2 linked regions of the Kluyveromyces lactis genome follow. The protein of the gene in region 1 interacts with the protein of each later gene in a biochemical or structural test. Links are inferred from orthologs where the notes say so. Each region holds a gene or a part of one and is shown on either strand. Other genes may lie near its edges. The genes, in order: CDC24 and STE4.

Evidence for each region.
Region 2: the proteins of CDC24 (region 1) and STE4 form a complex in vitro, tested with the Saccharomyces cerevisiae proteins (2 studies listed by BioGRID). The link is inferred for Kluyveromyces lactis from reciprocal best matches to the Saccharomyces cerevisiae genes CDC24 and STE4.

The regions. Positions count from the first base shown.
Region 1 is NC_006039.1:1,097,116-1,101,501, forward strand, and holds CDC24 (Rho family guanine nucleotide exchange factor CDC24), read left to right. Parts: upstream 1-1,515; coding exon 1,516-3,789; downstream 3,790-4,386. Other genes in the region: retrograde cargo receptor ERV46, read left to right, coding at 1-1,024; CIR2 (electron-transferring-flavoprotein dehydrogenase), read right to left, coding at 4,014-4,386. UniProt on the Saccharomyces cerevisiae protein: Promotes the exchange of CDC42-bound GDP by GTP. Controls the polarity of calmodulin, and the calcium regulatory process of bud emergence. CDC24 may be involved in the initial selection and organization of the budding site.
Region 2 is NC_006040.1:584,950-588,413, forward strand, and holds STE4 (G protein subunit beta), read left to right. Parts: upstream 1-1,339; coding exon 1,340-2,650; downstream 2,651-3,464. Other genes in the region: TBF1 (Tbf1p), read left to right, coding at 1-87; KLLA0_D06809g (uncharacterized protein), read right to left, coding at 2,760-3,326. UniProt on the Saccharomyces cerevisiae protein: Implicated in the a- and alpha-factor response pathway. The beta and gamma chains of the putative yeast mating response pathway G protein play a positive role in initiation of the mating response.

The sequences.
Region 1 (4,386 bases):
GAAGTTGGATCTCAACTTGGATGTGACATTTCCTTCGATGCCATGTAACGTATTAAATCTAGATATATTAGACGATTCTGGGGAATTTCAGATTAACCTATTAGATTCGGGATTCACGAAGATCAGAATTAGCCCAGAAGGGAAGGAACTCTCTAAGGAGAAGTTCCAAGTTGGTGACAAATCATCAAAGCAAAGCTTCAACGAAGAAGGATACTGTGGACCATGTTATGGTGCATTAGACCAATCAAAGAATGACGAGCTACCACAAGATCAAAAAGTATGCTGTCAAACTTGTGACGATGTGCGTGCAGCCTACGGACAAAAAGGATGGGCATTCAAGGATGGTAAAGGTGTGGAACAATGTGAACGTGAAGGATATGTTGAGAGCATCAATGCCAGAATACATGAAGGTTGTCGTGTTCAAGGACGTGCTCAATTAAACAGAATACAAGGTACCATCCACTTCGGTCCAGGTAGTTCAATGCGTAATATCCGTGGCCATTTCCACGACACTTCGCTATACGATGCATACCCACATTTGAACTTCAACCATATAATCAACACCTTGACGTTTGGAGAGAAACCCAAGGATGGAGACAGCGAATTGATCGGTTCTGCTTCAATTTCACCATTAGACAGCCGCCAAGTGTTCCCAGACCGCGACACACACTTCCATGAGTTCTCATACTTCTGCAAGATCATTCCTACCAGATTCGAATTCTTAGATGGTAAAAAAGTTGAAACTACTCAATTCAGCGCCACGTACCACGATAGGCCTCTAAGAGGGGGCAGGGACGAAGACCATCCAAACACTGTTCATTCTAAAGGAGGTGTCCCAGGTGTTTTCTTCAATTTTGAGATGTCGCCTTTAAAAGTCATAAATAAAGAACAGCATGCAACATCATGGTCTGGTTTCCTTTTGAATTGTATCACAAGTATTGGTGGTGTCTTGGCAGTTGGTACTGTCATTGACAAAATCACATACAGAGCACAAAAATCTATTTGGGGTAAGAAGAGCTCTTAAGCAAAGATAGATAGAAAGAGAAATTGTACTACTGTTCTATAAAAGTACATATATAGAAGTTATGTGTGAGTTTGACACTTGTAATTCTTATTTTCCAGTTATAGAACGAAACTCTAGCGTATATCAATATTCAATGCCAGATATGTAGGATTATTACACGACACCTGGCAAGTGCCGCTAATTGGTGTTATACTCTTAAATACCACTGAGAAGTATCTCCTATATAAAAAGAACCTCCAGAATTTGATCCACAACAATGTTTTCGGGCCCCAAAGGTTTTGACCCAGAGATCTCAGTATTGACATTACTCTTGAAAGAAAAAAAAAAAAAGAATAGAATAAAACAATACTGAAATTAACGAAACAGCCAGTGTCTTCGAAGTGAAGTTAAAATAATTCTTATCGTTGTAAGTCTTCCAGAGCTGTACAAACAAGGTTTTTACTATCTAGGAGTGTCAGAGAATAATTCTGTTTTAGTTGCAGCCTGCCATAATGGCGGTAAATCCATCAGTATCCAATGTTTCGCTGACGAGTGTGCGTTCAAATAGCACACATTTATTAATGAACAAAAAGGTGACAGCACAGGAGTCATTATATCATATGTGTTTAATGATCAAGAAGAGATTAGAGTTTCTGCCACAGCTCCAACCATATTTGAATTTAGCGCATTCGAGTTCAGAGATTCTAGCAGAACACCAAGCCCTGCTTTTATCGCAGAAACAGCAGTCACAGCAGCAACATCGGCAGCGAGGTTCGCATTACGAAGGTAGTAGTGCACAAAGTACAAATGGTAGACTTTCCTCCTCAAGTACTCTTCATAGGGACTCTAGTTTCTCGGCTACGAGTTTTGGAGAGGACTCTGAGCATTCTCAGTCCTTTAATATGGAGGACACTTTACTGACTTTTTCTGTTGGTATTACGCCTATATCTGTCGATTGTGACCCTGTAACGCAACTTTCTAAACTATTTCAACAGGGTTCGCCACTTTGTATTATATTCAATGCCGTAAGACCTCAATCTAAGCTAACGGTGGTCTCGTCAGATGATATTAAGATTTGTAAAAAATCTATCTACGACTTCATTCTTGGTCTGAAACAACATTTTGCATTTAATGACGAAGAACTGTTCACCATTTCTGACGTTTTTTCAAATTCGACAGATCATTTCTTGAAAGTTTTGGACGTTGTGAATACGTTGCTGAATGCTGCACCTGAAGTATTCCCACAAATTGATATGAGCACACAGTTGGAATCTCAACGTCTTGCGAAACCACAGACAGAATATGATAAAATTGTCAAAGAATTCATCGAGACTGAGAGAAAGTACGTGCATGATCTAGAAGTTCTGAATAAGTATAGGAAGCAACTTTTAGACAACCAAATTATCAACTCGGAAGAACTGTACATGCTGTTCCCCAATTTGAATGACATAATCGATTTCCAAAGACGGTTTTTAGTGTCATTAGAAGTCAACGGTCAAGTTCCATCTCAAAAACAAAGAATCGGGGCCTTATTCATGCATTCCAAATATTTCTTCAAGCTATATGAACCTTGGTCCATAGGTCAAAATGCAGCGATTGATTTCATTTCGTCTAGTTTCAACAAAATGAACCCAAATAGCACTAATTTTGTCATCGGTAATAAAATGGAACTGCAATCATTCCTTCTCAAACCAGTCCAAAGATTGTGTAGATACCCATTACTTCTCAAAGATCTTTTACAACACGCAGAAAGTGATTCTAAAGAATTGGAGATTGCCTTGGGTATTGCCAAATCCATTGCAAGGAATATTAACGAAAATCAAAGGAGAACAGAAAATTACGAGGTTGTCAAACGTCTCTATGGTCGTGTGGTAAATTGGAAGGGTTACCGCATCGCTAAGTTTGGTGAGTTATTGTACTTTGATAGAATATCAATATCAACGAGCAATTCCAATGAGCCAGAAAAAGATTTTGAAGTGTATCTATTCGAAAAAATCATACTATTATTCAGTGAGGTAAGCCAGAAGAAAGGAAGCTCAATAAGTTTAAAAAAGAAATCGAATTCATCATCTGTTCTTCATCTTTCAAACTCTTCGAACACTAACATGAATGATTTCACGAAGAACACTGGGAAACTGGATTTAAGAGGTCGAATTATGATAGTTAACCTGACTCAAGTCGCTCCGATTGATAACTATTCCCTGAACATTATTTGGGAATCAGCCAAGGAAAAGGGGAACTTCATACTAAAATTCAAAAATGAAGAAACCCGCAACAACTGGGAAAGCTGCCTTCATCAGCTTCTTCGTCAAATTCGCAGCGAGTCCTATAAAAGTGTCAATACGAATAGCGATATGTCGTCATTCTCCTCACCAGTCCAATATTCTCACAACAGTGTTGCCTCCATTGGTAGCACTCTGACCAGACAAATCTCAGAAGTCCTTCCCAAAAGCCATATGTCCAATGCCCGTCAGTCATTTGCAAGCGAATACAGATCTATATCCGAAAGTTACAAAAATTCAATCCCTGACACTATGCTTCTACTGAGGGTCTCATTCAACAACGATTTTTACACAGTCTTAGTATCCTTAGACTGTTCTGCGGAAGATCTGTTGCTTGCGATTAAAAGGAAATTGGCACATTTAGGAGTAATCACGAAGGTAAAATACCAGGATGAAGATGGTGATTTTGTGATGTTGGAAAGTGATGATGATTGGTATGTTGTAAAAGATATGCTGAAAGAGAGTAATGAAAGACTATTGAACGTTTGGGCTTATACAAACTGAGACATATTAATAATATTTTACCTTTGATTGTATTATACATAGATTTCACTTTTTGGCGTTTTTCAAAGGTAAATGAAGACAATTCCAGTTTGACAGGTTCACTTGGTTGATTTAATATAAGTTCAGTTATTAATGAAAATCATATTTTACAGATATGAATAAATAAATTATATTAGATAAATAAATATTTCAGGCCAAATTTTACTCTGACTAATTTAACAAACTCAGGTAAGTGTGTACTTTGGACCATCACCTCCCTCAGGAACTTCCCAATTAATGTCCTGAGTTGGAACCTTGATGTCACAGGTTTTACAATGAATACAATTTTGTGAGTTAATCTGGAATTTCACACCCAATGGGGAGGTTTCGTCTTCAACATACTCATAAACACCAGCTGGACAAAATCTTGATTCGATTCCCTTCCATTTTGGATACGCAATACTAGTATGTTTTTCCATATCTTGCTCAGGGACTCTTAAATGGCATTTTTCGTCATCATCGTGATACGTTCCAGTTCTTGATACTGATGTTAAGATATCAAAGGTAATCTTTCCATCGGGTTTTGGATAATCTATGGGTTTGTATTTATCTGCAGAT
Region 2 (3,464 bases), on another chromosome or scaffold:
GAGTACTTGGAGAAGGTGACAGGTGATTTAGAAAGAGGTCTGAAAAGCAAGAAGAAACCCAAATCCAAGCCCAAACCAGCGGTCTGATGTGAGCGTCGGGAAAGCGGGACCAATTTAGCATATATAAACTCGTAGTTATCATTGAATGCATAGTCATAGTATCATCTCGTCCTTGAATAACCTTATGCAGCAGTTTTTCACAACAGGATCTATTCGATTCCCTAATCTTTACATTTTTTTGGTTTGTGGCCAGCAAGCTCTTTCATGTGGGAACATTAGGTATATCATAGTATCATTGCATCATGATAGCAAATTCGACTACATGTTGCATTCGAAGTTAGGACTCTAGAACAGTGGTTTTTTTTGGTTGCTACAAGCCACACATCATTAACCGTTCCTGGTACCGGAGACCTTTTCCCCTGTCACCGAAAACTGAACGCAGTAAATGCCATAACGCCATAGTAAATGTATCTAAGTAAGGTGTGAGAGCTATGTGATAGTCTGCGTCTGTATTGAGTGTTCGCGTAGGCTTCCTTTATTTTATTTTTTCACCTAGCGTGGAGATCGTCTTGCAAAGAGCGACAGTTTTTGAGGTTGTCATTTCACAAAAACTTGGTAAGATCTGTCTTGTTTAAGAGAGGCTTTTCTAGGCATCATGTGAAATATACAACGCTGTTTCACTGGGGAGCTTCGACACTGGCCCTTTTGAGGATACAATTCCTCATGCTGTAGAACGAGACGCTAAGGAAAGCACGCTTGAATATGTGCATTGATATCTTTTATATTACTTTTGCTTTTATTTGGAGTGTCTAAATCCATGACTGGAAGTTTGAGCTGCAATTAGCAATTGAGTTACATAGCGAACTAAATAAGGCATTGGTTCATTAGGATTTAACAGCAGTACAGCATATACATCGAAGTTGACAATCTGTTAAACAAGTGAAATAGCAGAGAAAGATTGCCTGTACAGCTTTGGTTCGGAGGTTTAATGTTGTTTGCAAAAATGACATGACTTTTATGCATGATATATATATACATGATGGAAGAAATATGGTCGTTTCCTTTCGCGGCGTTAATGGGCATTTTTGGTACATTGCCTTGTTCATATTTGTAGTAAATTAGTTTGTTGTGAGTAAATTAGGGATATATATATATATGAAGGTCCTGGAGAGGAAATCAGCAGAAAGGACGAAATCTGTTTCAGAGTGCCTCTTAATCGAATCGCAGATTCTAATGCTGGTGATCATTGATTGAAGTTTGCAAAGTTCGATACTTACTCATTTCATTTCAACCCCCTTCCTTTCCTTATTACAGTGTCTAGTTGCAAACAGCATCCAAGATGGAAGTCGATTCAGCAGAATATGCAATTCGTCCACAGGAACTGATTGTGCACGATTACCATTATCCCAATATGAATTCAGCTGGTACAGTGGAGGACAAAATAAGGACAGCAAAGACGGAGTGCAAGCAGTTATACGACCAAATCAACAGAATTAAAGGCAAAATTCAAGACACTCAATTGATGAACTTGTCTCACGGCGTCAATTCATTACACGAGTTAAACTTACAACCGGTTCGAACTTTGAAAGGACATAATAATAAAATCTCAGACGTAAAATGGAGCCAGGATTCGGCAAGCGTACTCAGCTCGAGCCAAGACGGGTTTATAATCATATGGGATCCCTTCACTGGGCTTAAAAAAAGCGCTATCCCCTTGTTATCCCAATGGGTCTTGAGTAGCGCTATCAGTCCCAGCGGAAATCTGGTTGCAAGTGCGGGTTTGGACAATCATTGTTCAGTGTATCGTGTTTCAAGAGATAATAGAATACAACAGAATGTGATTTCCATCTTCAAGGGCCATACCTGCTACATTTCAGCTACGGAGTTTCTTGATGAGAGGACTATTTTGACTGCAAGTGGTGATATGACATGCGCTATGTGGGATATTCCTAAAAGTAAAAGAGTTACGGAATTTATAGATCACTTAGGCGATGTCTTGACCATGGATTTACCACCAGCAAACACTGGTCGATATGGTCATAATTTCATCACCGGAGGATCGGACGGGTATGCGTATCTATGGGATGTTAGACAGCCGAATTCAGCCCAAAGTTTTTTCATCAGTGATAGTGATGTTAGTGCCATCAAATTTTTCAACAATGGAGAATCCTTCATGGCGGGTTCAGATGATGGTAGCGCTAGGTTATTTGACTTAAGAAGTGATTGTCAGATATCGACGTACTCATTTTCAGACGGTTTACTTCAGCAGCACCAGCTTCAACAACAACATCATCCTCATCCTCATTCTCATGCTTATTCTCGTATTCAAAAAAATCGGTATGGCTCATCCTCTTCTTCAACTTCGTCTTATCCAATTGTAAAAACACCTCAATCTTTGAATTTCAAGGAAAGTTGTATCGAAGATCAAGGAGTCATATCAATAGATTTCAGCTCTTCTGGTAGATTGATGTACGCTTGTTATGCGGATTACGGGTGTGCAGTATGGGATATTATCAAAGGAGAAATGATTGGCAAAGTTGATGGTCATCGAAACAGAATAAATGCCGTCAAGACGAGCCCTGATGGAATGGCAGTAGTGTCTAGCTCATGGGATATGACCCTAAAAGTTTGGACACCGGTTCATCAGTGAAATGATGAACTGAGAATGGTAATGCATATCGAAAAAAGCCGCAAAATAGCCCTTATAATACTACTGAAACCGCTCAGTTTGGCTCTTGTTCATCGCAGTAAGTGAAACTTTAAGATGCAGCTGAGGAAGCCTCCACCAACCTGCAAATTTTATTGAGCAGCTGGTTCGGAATTTGAGACAATAATATTACAATGTCATCCTCTTGATGACGTCTCTTAGCAATTTCTTCAGATACCGGAGGAAATGTAACAATTGTATTAATTACCTTTTGAATAGTATCAACATCAGATACCGATATAAGATTAATAGCCCTTTGTAAGTTTGTAACTTGACCCAAACTTATTTCATCTTCATTGTAAATTGGTACACTGCCAGAATTTAATAACTCTTCCCGCAGTTTGGTTTGATGGTAGGGAAACCTTCCCTCATAATCAACATTGTACGCATTATTATCGAAGGATAGTTCGTGATGAAAAGTGTAAGTTGTCGAGCAAAATTTGACCTTTGCTATTATCTTTAGCTCAAACTCACCCCAACCTTGCTCATCTAGGGTGAAGGGAGGTTCCGTGAGTTTTCGTAGTGGTCGTTCAAATGTGGGATGAAGGTGATAGGTAACATAATCAAATAAGGTGGCCGGTTGCTCGTTTCCTTCTTCATCTAATATAAATAATTGCATTCTCCATTTCCTTGTCGGCAGTTCGTAGACTTTAGGAGCATCTGGTAAAATAATTTGTTGAGTTTTGACTCTTATTGTTCGAGGAACGTAAGGCTGATATGTTTGTAAACAACCACTTGTTAGTGACAATGCTGCTAG